2 linked regions of the Schizosaccharomyces pombe genome follow. The protein of the gene in region 1 binds, or shares a complex with, the protein of each later gene. Each region holds a gene or a part of one and is shown in the gene's direction. Other genes may lie near its edges. The genes, in order: pst2 and clr6.

Region 1 (6,394 bases):
TTGTTAAAGCAGACTAATAGTAGTCAACGTGTGATTTTATTTTTTCTTCACCGCTTACTTCTCAAAAGCCTCCTTTTTAATTTACTATCAAAAACGGCAGTTTTGGCAGTTTTTTGAAGGTTTATTGGTTTAATTAATTTATTCTGTAAAAACAAGGAAAGCAAAATTACAGATATTTGATTCTTTAGATTTTCTTAAACCCTCTCGCATCTTCGTCTTATTTTGGCTTTTTTTTTTGTTAAATATAGCAAGTTTGCGCCTCTTTTATTTAAATTCATTTTTAAAAAGCCACCTTTCATTCTAAATTTACCTTATTCCTTTTTCTCCCTGTGAAATTCAACCCTTACCATTTTTTTGAAATTGGTGACTTTTCGTTTTCAAACTATGTTCGACCTCGCAAGACAAACTCGGATTATCCTTTTATTAGGTATTGATGTTACTTTTTTCTTCATCGAAATTATTACTGGTTATGCGATCGATTCACTTGCCCTAATTGCTGATTCATTTCATATGTTAAATGACATTGTCAGTTTACTGGTCGCTCTCTGGGCTACTCGTCTAGCACATTCAACATCTCACGAACCAAAATACACATATGGCTGGCAACGTGCAGAGATTTTAGGTGCTTTGTCGAACGGTGTATTTCTCATTGCCCTTTGCATGTTCATTTTTATGGAAGCCATAGAGCGCTTCATTGAGCCTCCTTCTGTCAGCAATCCCACCCTTATGTTCTTTGTTGGTTCTTTAGGTCTGCTAAGCAATTTCGTTGGTATCTTTTTATTTCATGACCATGGTCATGATCATCCTCACACCCATACCGCTCAAAATTACGATTTTCCTGAAGAAGATGATATTGAATCCGTTTTACCTTCGACTATCGTTCATCGTTGTAATACCAGTCAACAAGAAGTCAGCCATACACACACTCAAGTCGCAGACTCTGCTACCGAATCTTCTCCTTTATTGAGTTACACTGGTAATCATAATGGTGCTGGTACTTCAAAGCCAGTCAACAACCATGGCAGTATTGAACAAGATGCACCAAAACAAACGAAGAAACGAAATTTGAATATGCATGGTGTCTTTCTTCATGTCTTGGGTGATGCTCTCGGTAATATTGGTGTTATTAGTGCTGCTTTATTCATCAAGTATACTGACTATTCTTGGCGTTTCCTCTTTGACCCATGCATTAGTATCCTTCTTACTTTCATTATTCTTTTTAGCGCAATTCCTCTCTGTAAATCCGCTGCTCTCATCTTATTACAAGTTGCTCCTCAAAGCATCAAACTGGATGATGTTTCCAACCTAATTAATCATCTAGACGGCGTGGAATCTGTTCATGAACTCCACATCTGGCAGCTTTCGGACGTTAAATTAATTGCCACTGTTCATGTCTGCGTTACACTTCCTGATGATAAGGGAGAGTCTTATACAAAGCTTACTACGGATATCCGTAATGTCCTTCAATCTTTTGGTATATATGATGTTACCATTCAACCAGAATTCGCCAATCATCCGCTTTTATGTGACCAAGGTTCCTCGTCTTAGTTTGCGAACATTATAAATTTAACGTGGTTAATCTATTGTGTCACATCTTTTGATTTATTCTTGAGGTAAAATTTTATATTGAATGTTTACTTTGTTTCATTTTTAAAGCGTAATTTCTTCTGCCATTCCTGTTCGTATTTAAAAACTTTATTTCACCATCTTGGTTGTTTGTTTTGCGAATGCACTTAAGTAAAGTAGTCGACAACTTAACTTTGAAAGTAGATAGTTTTCGATTTCTTATTCTTGATGAAGACGATGCATAGTTTCGGTTTTATTAAATCTCTATTATTCTTAGAAAATAATGTTTAGATGTAGTGTTTAATTATTTAAAAGGAATATTTTTTAACAATTATATTGGGTTTGATTCTTCTCGTTAGTATTTTTTCTAAAGTATTCGTTGTAAGTGTAAAACACCATCCAATGTGGTATTTGTGTTCATGTCTTGATAAATCATTTGAACTTTGGCTATCAGCGTCAGTTCATGTAATGCGTTGACGAGTTTGTGCGCTTAGTTGCATTTGCCGTTTCCCAAATCATCACCTCCAAAATAAACGAGATCGTATTCCTAGTCATTTGATGGTTAAAGATCAAAATACATGGAACAAACACTAGCGATATTAAAAAATGGTACGTATCAATTTAATACATAACTCATTTTAACCAATGTTGTTAGACAACTCAACGTTAGTGGCCGAGATGCAGAATCAATTAGTCCATGATTTTTCCCCTAATGGTACCGCACTCCCCGAGCTTGATATAAAGGCATTCGTTCAAAAGTTGGGTCAAAGACTGTGTCATCGTCCTTATGTTTATAGCGCTTTCATGGATGTTGTGAAGGCTTTACACAATGAAATGTATATATGGCTTATTTACTGAGTTGCTTTGAGATAGCTCTTTTTTTATTACTATTCACTTATTAACATGAACATTAGTGTCGATTTTCCCGGGTTTATTGAAAGAATATCTGTAATCTTAAGAGATTACCCAGATCTTTTAGAATATTTGAACATCTTTTTGCCCTCGTCTTATAAATACCTTTTATCGAATAGCGGTGCCAACTTCACATTGCAATTTACCACCCCATCTGGTCCAGTTTCTACACCGTCTACTTATGTAGCTACTTACAACGACTTACCTTGTACCTATCATAGAGCTATAGGATTTGTTTCACGAGTTCGACGAGCATTATTGAGCAATCCCGAACAGTTCTTTAAATTACAGGATAGTCTTCGTAAGTTTAAAAACTCTGAGTGTTCGCTTTCTGAGCTTCAGACTATTGTAACGTCTTTGCTAGCGGAGCATCCATCTTTAGCCCACGAGTTTCACAACTTTTTACCAAGCTCCATCTTTTTTGGGAGTAAACCTCCTCTAGGATCGTTTCCATTAAGAGGAATTCAGAGTTCCCAATTTACGTTGAGTAATATTTCTGATTTGCTTAGTCAATCAAGGCCGGACAACCTCTCACCATTTTCACATTTATCAAATGAGAGCAGTGACTTTTTCAAAAATGTGAAAAATGTACTTACCGATGTAGAAACTTACCACGAATTTTTAAAACTCCTGAATTTGTACGTTCAAGGGATAATTGATAGAAATATTCTGGTGAGTCGTGGGTTTGGGTTTCTTAAATCGAATTCGGGACTTTGGAGAAGCTTTTTAAGCCTTACTAGTTTGAGTCCGGAAGAGTTTTTATCTGTATACAATTCCGCTTGCTCAGACTTCCCGGAATGTGGCCCGAGTTACCGATTGCTTCCTGTCGAAGAACGCAATATTTCTTGCAGCGGTAGAGATGATTTTGCATGGGGTATACTTAATGATGACTGGGTCAGTCATCCAACTTGGGCATCTGAAGAAAGCGGTTTCATTGTTCAGAGGAAAACGCCTTATGAAGAGGCAATGACAAAGTTGGAAGAGGAACGTTATGAATTTGATCGGCATATTGAAGCTACTTCCTGGACAATCAAGTCTCTTAAAAAAATTCAGAACCGTATAAATGAATTGCCGGAAGAGGAAAGAGAAACATATACTCTCGAGGAAGGGCTAGGTTTACCATCAAAAAGTATATACAAGAAAACTATTAAGCTTGTTTATACCAGTGAGCATGCAGAGGAAATGTTTAAGGCCTTGGAAAGAATGCCTTGCCTCACATTACCATTGGTAATCAGCAGATTAGAAGAAAAAAACGAAGAGTGGAAGTCTGTTAAAAGAAGTCTTCAACCTGGATGGCGAAGTATTGAGTTTAAAAATTACGATAAGAGCTTAGATTCACAATGCGTTTATTTTAAGGCAAGAGATAAGAAGAATGTATCTTCAAAGTTTCTCTTAGCAGAAGCCGACATTCTACGATCGCAAGCGAAGCTCCATTTTCCTTTGCGAAGTAGATCAGCTTTCGAATTTTCTTTTGTATATGACAACGAAATAGTACTTTTTGATACTTGTTATATGGTATGCACATACATTGTATGTAACTCTCCCTCTGGTTTAAAGAAAGTTGAGCATTTTTTCAAGAATATATTGCCTTTACATTTTGGTCTTGAAAAGGATAAATTTTCGATATTCCTGGATCAAGTTTTTCGTGGTCCTGATTACGATGTGAATGCCCCGAATATAGTTGGTAACAAGCCTGTACGTCGGAAAAGATCTAATTCTATAACCCAGTTGACGGAATTTGTAAAACAACCTAAAATCAATGGTCAACGCGAAAGTCGTTCAGCTGCAGCTGCTCGCAAAAAAGAAGAATCCGGTAACAAATCACAATCTAACTCTCAAAACTCTTTAAGTGATGAATCTGGAAACGTAACGCCGGTTTCTAAGAAACAGCTTTCACAACCTGCTGCAGCCATTAAAGCCAGTCTCAAATATCCAAGTCATCCAGATAGTCTTTTGGAACATCAAGATCATGCTGGTGATACGGAGAATGAAATGCATGACGACGTCGATAAAGAACAGTTTGGATATTCTTCTATGTACGTATTTTTTAGACTTTTTAACTTATTATACGAAAGGCTTTATGAGCTTCAGCGTTTGGAGGATCAAGTGTCCATTATCCAACAGCGTATAATACCAAACCCAGTATCTCAAAAACAAAAGATTTGGCGCGATAGGTGGAATGATCTTTCAGATGTCCCTGATGAAAAAACTCATTACGAAAATACTTATGTGATGATTCTTCGATTAATATATGGGATAGTTGATCAAAGTGCCTTCGAGGACTATCTGCGGTTTTATTATGGCAATAAAGCCTATAAAATATATACTATTGATAAACTCGTTTGGTCTGCTGCTAAACAAGTCCACCACATCGTTTCCGATGGAAAATACAAATTCGTTACTAGTTTAGTCGAACAAAATAGTTCTGCTTCGCCTAAGAAGAATTATGATGACTTTCTTTATCGCTTGGAAATTGAAAAGCTTTTGAATCCTGATGAAATTTTGTTTCGATTTTGTTGGATAAACAAATTTAAATCATTTGGAATCAAAATAATGAAGCGAGCGAATCTTATTGTGGATCAAAGTTTGGATACACAGAGACGAGTTTGGAAAAAATATGTTCAAAATTATCGTATACAAAAACTTACTGAAGAAATATCTTATAAAAATTATCGTTGTCCCTTTCTTTGCAGAAATATAGAGAAAGAAAGAACAGTTGAGCAATTGGTTTCACGCCTTCAAACAAAGTTATTAAGATCTGCAGAATTGGTTTCCGGATTGCAAGCAAAATTATGTTTAGACTCGTTTAAATTGCTCTACTTACCACGCACAGAAGATTCTTACATAGATGCATCTTACCTGCGCCTTAGAGATACCGACTTCCTTGATTGCCAGAATAAAAGAAAACAGCGTTGGAGAAATCGATGGGAATCGTTATTAAAATCGGTTAGGGGAACTTCTGACAACACGGCAGAGGTGAATTTTGATGCTGACATTAATGCACTATTTATCCCATAATGATTTTAATGCAGTCGACCTACCTATTGATCATATTTACTTAAATACAATTTGACTTTAATAGTTTTATATTACTTTGTTAACATAACTTATCTTTCTAGGTATTTTATAATTTCAAGGATTTATGTATAGTACGAATTTACTGAAATTTTTGCACATAAGCTTTGTATTAAATTTTCTAAAGCCGTACTTCTGTAATTACTACATAAAATATTACAATGCACAGATTTTTATTTACAAACAAGCGGTTGTCGTAGCAACCACTTTGTTTACCCTCAAAAGTTACCACCTGCGTTTTGTTAGAAACAAATACCAAATGGCGAGTGTTGCAATTAAAGAGCCCAAAACTGCTATAACCCCGAAGAAGAAGTCCAAAGCCTCTCGTCTTTGCTTTACTCCGCCAACTAATCTTCATAATAATAAAAAAAATATATTCTACACTCGCTACGATTGCATTGGTGAAGGCGGCTTTGCGAGATGTTTTCGAGTCAAAGATAATTATGGAAATATTTACGCTGCTAAAGTTATTGCTAAAAGGTCACTACAAAATGATAAAACAAAGCTGAAGCTCTTTGGAGAAATAAAGGTGCACCAATCCATGAGTCATCCAAACATCGTAGGATTTATAGATTGTTTTGAAGATTCGACGAATATTTACTTAATTTTGGAGCTTTGTGAACATAAATCTTTAATGGAACTTTTACGTAAGCGAAAACAATTAACTGAGCCAGAGGTTCGGTATTTAATGATGCAAATTTTGGGAGCTTTGAAATATATGCATAAAAAGAGAGTCATTCATAGAGATTTAAAGCTTGGAAATATTATGCTTGATGAGAGTAACAATGTAAAAATTGGTGATTTTGGGCTTGCCGCGCTTTTAATGGATGACGAAGAACGT
Region 2 (4,854 bases), on another chromosome or scaffold:
TAATTGTCTTGAAAATTTAGGACCAAATAGATGTTTCAAATAAGTATAGTGTTTTTGATCGATATACTTGATTCTTAAAAACGAGATAAATTTGTAACGCGCTTTCACGCGTAATTTGCAAATTTTATATTCAAGAATTGTGGTTATTTGTCATTTTAAATAATATTTTCTCATAGAAGACCTGTGCTAGTTCTCAGTCTTATACCAAGCTGGTTCTTATACATGTACAATTAAAAATACTAAAATGGTCAACGATTTTAATGAAAAAAATGGCATTAAGAAAAGACTTCTAGATTTCTTCCCAGTCGTTCTCGAAGGAATTCGTGAAATCTTAGAAAGCATGCAATACTTCCCCGAAGAAACCGAGAAGCTGTTATATGTAAGTTGATTATCTTGCCTTTATAACGCGACAGCTAACCTTCATTTAGTCCATAAAGAGAAATACGTTAGGAGGAAAGAATAATCGAGGACTGGCAGTTTTGCAATCTTTAACAAGCCTTATTAATCGAGAACTTGAAGAAGCAGAATTTCGCGACGCTGCTCTCCTAGGTTGGCTAATTGAAATTGTAAGTAAACTGGTTTTTTAATTCAGATTTGTTTACGTAAAATCACTGGGGTACTGACGGATGTTCAGTTGCAAGGTTGCTTTTTAATGGCAGATGATATTATGGATCAGTCTATCAAACGACGTGGTTTAGATTGTTGGTATTTGGTAGTTGGTGTACGAAGGGCAATTAATGAGTCACAATTACTAGAAGCATGTATTCCACTTTTAATTCGAAAGTATTTCAGAAATATGCCATACTATGTCGATTTATTGGATACTTTCCGAGAGGTATGTTACAATAAATTCAACTAAAAAGCTTACTTTCAAGGTTACTTTTCTCACCGAGTTGGGGCAACAAGAAGATTTGCTTTCATCACGAGACGGAGAAGCCTCGTTACGATCTTTTGATTTAATGAAATATGACTTTATTATCACTTATAAAACATCATTTTATTCCTTTTACCTTCCTATTAAATGTGCTTTATTGTTGTCTCGCAATTCGAATCAAAAGGCGTATGATACGACTATAAAGCTTTCAAAACTTCTTGGTTATTATTTCCAAGTCCAAGATGACTACTTAGATTGTTTCGGTGATTACACGGTTTTGGGTAAAGTGGGAATGGACATACAAGACAATAAATGCACATGGCTAGTTTGTTATGCTGAAAAATTTGCCTCTGCGGATCAGCTGAATCTTCTTCGTGCTCATTATGGAAAAGCAGGGTCTGAAAACATAGCTGTAATAAAGCAGCTTTATCATGAGCTTCAAATACCTGAATTATATCACAAATTTGAAGATGACATGGTGGATTCTATATCCAAAGAAATTGATTTGATTGATGAATCTACTGGATTGAAAAAGTGTATATTTACTAAGTTTTTTCAGCTCATTTACAAAAGGTCACGGTAGCAGTCATTTCATTTTAAATAACCGTTATTATCTTCTTCCTTATTTAAAATTTATTATTTGATGACCTTCCAAATTCTTTATGATACTGATCGACGATTTGTATTTAGGGTTATTCTTAAGGTTTCATATCATTATAGCATTTATGGTTTTTTTCATTATTGTTAAAGATCTGCATTCAGAATTTACTTTTTTAATGATTATCTGGTTGATACATTACTCTACTTGGGAAACTAAGCAAGATTTAGATTATGTAGATGTAAACATTTGGTGAGTAGTATAATAATAACATCAAATGACATTGACGATCGTTGTTAATTGGATTGGTTATGAAAGAATTATTATATTGCTCATTTGAGAAAATGCAAAAACTGTCACTGAAAAAAACATACAGCACATTTTAATAGACATTCCAAGGTTAGTCCTTTTTGTTATAACAGTATTTTACTTAAATTGAACAATTAATCGTTACTTATTTAAGATCTTGAAACACTAGTTCGTGGATGGGAGAAATATTCAATAGAACCAGGCTGCTGCTTCAGCTTCTGACCACTCCATCATAGCAACAATTCTACGCGAAAGCGCTCCGAACCTAACATTTTTAATTGATAACATAAGGAAACTGTTTGCCTTATTAAATAATTGGGAAAGAAAATCCTATTTGAAACTATGGGGTTCGGGAAGAAAAAGGTTTCTTATTTCTATGATGGTACGTGTAAACTAGTAAGATCCTAGCTAATTTTTGAAATAGAGGATGTTGGAAATTATCACTATGGTCCTCAGCATCCAATGAAGCCTCATCGCGTTCGCATGGTATGATATAAAGCTATAACTATTTATCATCATTAACCTACTTAGGTTCATAATCTGGTCGTTAATTACAACTTGTATGAGAAGTTGAACGTTATTGTAAGTTCTATTTCTCCTTTTTATACTAATAAAGTATACAAGACACCTGTTAGAGCAACAAGGAATGACATGACTCGTTGTCATACCGATGAGTATATTGAATTTCTTTGGAGAGTTACACCTGACACGATGGAAAAATTTCAACCGCATCAGCTGAAATGTAAGATTTCATTTCGATTATTTATAAATAACCGTGATTTTAGTTAACGTCGGTGATGATTGTCCTGTTTTTGAGTATGTGCGTTTATCAAATTTTTTATACTAACAATTGTTTAGTGGGCTGTACGAATTTTGTTCAATTTCTGCTGGCGGTTCAATTGGTAAGATAAAAGTTTTTCCCAAAAAAGGGGCTTTGAAGCATCCGCTGAATTTGTGAATGGAGTATAGGACTTTAACTAACATTGGTTTAGGTGCTGCTCAAGAACTTAACTCGGGAAACGCAGAAATTGCTATTAAGTATGTTATTGAGGATTTTTTAGTACTTTGAAGATCAACTAACCACTTAATTAAGTTGGGCTGGAGGCCTACATCACGCTAAAAAACGTGAAGCTTCTGGTTTCTGCTATGTTAATGATATCGCGTTGGCTGCTTTAGAATTGCTGAAATATCATCAACGTGTTCTTTACATTGATATTGATGTTCACCACGGAGACGGTGTAGAAGAATTTTTCTACACTACGGATCGCGTTATGACTTGTTCATTCCACAAATTCGGTGAATATTTTCCAGGAACCGGTCATATCAAGGTATGCATGCGGCTTTATATTTGGATTTACTTTTCTAATATTTTAGGACACCGGAATTGGAACAGGAAAAAACTATGCTGTTAACGTTCCTTTGAGAGATGGTATTGACGATGAATCTTATGAAAGCGTATTTAAGCCTGTAAGTCTTTTTTATAAATTTCTTTGTTCTAACAATCTGAATTAGGTTATAAGTCACATAATGCAATGGTTTCGACCGGAAGCTGTTATTTTACAATGTGGAACAGATTCTCTCGCTGGTGATCGACTAGGCTGCTTCAATCTGTCAATGAAGGGTAAGTAACTACTGTTTCTCGTTTTTACTAATTCCCCTCAACAGGACATTCAATGTGCGTTGATTTTGTTAAGAGCTTTAATTTGCCAATGATATGCGTTGGAGGAGGTGGATATACTGTACGGAATGTTGCCCGTGTCTGGACTTATGAAACTGGTCTTTTAGCCGGCGAAGAGCTTGATGAAAGTAAGTACCAATACGTAAATTGTTTATTAACCCATCCAAGACCTTCCTTATAATGACTATTTACAATATTACGGTCCCGATTACAAGCTCAATGTTCTTTCAAACAATATGGAAAACCATAACACTCGGCAGTATCTTGATTCGATAACGTATGCTACCTTTTGAGTTTTATTCTTACGAGGCTGACCAAATTTAGCTCTGAAATCATCGAAAATTTGAGAAACTTATCTTTTGCACCTAGCGTTCAAATGCATAGTAAGTATAAGCGGTTATCGAAAAATGTGCTAACAAATACTCTTACATTAGAAACTCCCGGTGACTTTACGTTTGAAAATGCCGAAAAGCAGAACATTGCGAAAGAAGAGATTATGGATGAGCGCGTATAGACCTATATAAAATTTTGTATGTTCATGGTGTTTGAATCCATTATACTCGGTTTTTTTGTGTTATTTGAATCATGAATACTATAAAAGCTATTATGTTTAAATACCCTTATTTATAAGAATTCTCCAGCATAATTAGACTTCAGCATTAAATTGAAAATGCTCATTACATATAATAACAAACACTTTATATTCTATACTCTAGATGTGACTTGTGGTTTTAAAAAAAAAGGAATAGCCAAAAAATTAACGCACAAAGAAAGAAGAAACGGAAATCACAAGGTAGTAGTAATTATATGTCTATCCGAAGTAAAAGGTCAAAACAATTAAGGAAGTACAATATACTTCTTGTATTGTGGCTCAATTACATCAAATAATTTTTTACTTTCAAGGAATGAGCGACTGAATAAACGAGTGGCATACTTGTGACCAGAATCACAAAGAATTGTAACCACCGTCTTGCCAGGACCTAATATTTTAGCCATTTCAACAGCAGCGACCACATTTAAGCAAGAAGAGCCGCCCAAGAAAAGACCTTCTTGGTCTAACAAACGAAAGAACATGTTAATAGATTTTTCGTCAGGGATTTTCATAGCATCGTCAATGAGATCGTAAACAGGTTGGACATTTCCAGTAATACGACCTTGACCAATGCCTTCGGTAAATGAAGAACCCTTGTTGTCAGGATGCTTACCCTTCGTTTTGATATGGCTATACAAAACACTTCCAGGGGGATCAGCCACGAAAGAAGCAACACGACCGTCGGACTTCTCCTTCAAATACTTGGTAACGCCGGCAAAAGTACCACCAGTACCAGTAGAGCAGGTAAAGCCGTCAACGGTACCTTTGGTTTGATCCCAAATTTCAGGACCAGTGGTTTCGTA

The links.
Region 2: the proteins of pst2 (region 1) and clr6 are in contact, whole or in part, in a cryo-EM structure (PDB 8I02), measured with the Schizosaccharomyces pombe proteins. Residues at the interface, in NP_593646.1 of Schizosaccharomyces pombe: Val132 (codon at 2,662), Pro139 (codon at 2,683), Cys140 (codon at 2,686), His143 (codon at 2,695), Ser213 (codon at 2,905), Lys214 (codon at 2,908), Pro215 (codon at 2,911), Pro216 (codon at 2,914), Leu217 (codon at 2,917), Gly218 (codon at 2,920), Ser219 (codon at 2,923), Phe220 (codon at 2,926), Pro221 (codon at 2,929), Ile225 (codon at 2,941), Gln226 (codon at 2,944), Ser227 (codon at 2,947), Ser228 (codon at 2,950), Gln229 (codon at 2,953), Phe230 (codon at 2,956), Asn328 (codon at 3,250), Ser329 (codon at 3,253), Asp333 (codon at 3,265), Glu336 (codon at 3,274), Cys337 (codon at 3,277), Gly338 (codon at 3,280), Pro339 (codon at 3,283), Ser340 (codon at 3,286), Tyr341 (codon at 3,289), Leu344 (codon at 3,298), Glu348 (codon at 3,310); in NP_595333.1 of Schizosaccharomyces pombe: Glu14 (codon at 2,163), Asp15 (codon at 2,208), Asn18 (codon at 2,217), Tyr19 (codon at 2,220), His20 (codon at 2,223), Pro23 (codon at 2,232), Gln24 (codon at 2,235), Lys28 (codon at 2,247), His30 (codon at 2,253), Arg33 (codon at 2,262), Arg55 (codon at 2,415), Asn59 (codon at 2,427), Thr62 (codon at 2,436), Arg63 (codon at 2,439), Cys64 (codon at 2,442), His65 (codon at 2,445), Thr66 (codon at 2,448), Asp67 (codon at 2,451), Glu68 (codon at 2,454), Asp96 (codon at 2,581), Asp101 (codon at 2,596), Gly102 (codon at 2,641), Glu105 (codon at 2,650), His138 (codon at 2,894), Lys140 (codon at 2,900), Lys141 (codon at 2,903), Arg142 (codon at 2,906), Ser145 (codon at 2,915), Gly146 (codon at 2,918), Phe147 (codon at 2,921).

Annotation. Positions count from the first base shown.
Region 1 is NC_003424.3:2,158,428-2,164,821, forward strand, and holds pst2 (Clr6 histone deacetylase complex subunit Pst2), read left to right. Parts: upstream 1-2,058; 5' UTR 2,059-2,144; coding exon 2,145-2,175; exon of another isoform or gene 2,176-2,221; coding exon 2,222-2,402; exon of another isoform or gene 2,403-2,480; coding exon 2,481-5,496; 3' UTR 5,497-5,651; downstream 5,652-6,394. Other genes in the region: ER zinc importer, CDF family, Zhf1, read left to right, coding at 385-1,548; Polo kinase Plo1, read left to right, coding at 5,813-6,394. UniProt on the Schizosaccharomyces pombe protein: Has a role in chromatin assembly and chromosome segregation. Involved in the deacetylation of histones.
Region 2 is NC_003423.3:848,628-853,481, reverse strand, and holds clr6 (class 1 histone deacetylase Clr6), read left to right. Parts: upstream 1-2,005; 5' UTR 2,006-2,123; coding exon 2,124-2,163; exon of another isoform or gene 2,164-2,205; coding exon 2,206-2,267; exon of another isoform or gene 2,268-2,312; coding exon 2,313-2,363; exon of another isoform or gene 2,364-2,405; coding exon 2,406-2,523; exon of another isoform or gene 2,524-2,566; coding exon 2,567-2,597; exon of another isoform or gene 2,598-2,639; coding exon 2,640-2,683; exon of another isoform or gene 2,684-2,773; coding exon 2,774-2,819; exon of another isoform or gene 2,820-2,874; coding exon 2,875-3,109; exon of another isoform or gene 3,110-3,155; coding exon 3,156-3,248; exon of another isoform or gene 3,249-3,293; coding exon 3,294-3,402; exon of another isoform or gene 3,403-3,446; coding exon 3,447-3,587; exon of another isoform or gene 3,588-3,627; coding exon 3,628-3,736; exon of another isoform or gene 3,737-3,778; intron 3,779-3,783; coding exon 3,784-3,842; intron 3,843-3,893; coding exon 3,894-3,973; 3' UTR 3,974-4,137; downstream 4,138-4,854. Other genes in the region: spo9 (ER farnesyl pyrophosphate synthetase Erg20), read left to right, coding at 245-379, 429-566, 635-835, 876-1,457; cys11 (cysteine synthase), read right to left, coding at 4,297-4,854. UniProt on the Schizosaccharomyces pombe protein: Responsible for the deacetylation of lysine residues on the N-terminal part of the core histones (H2A, H2B, H3 and H4).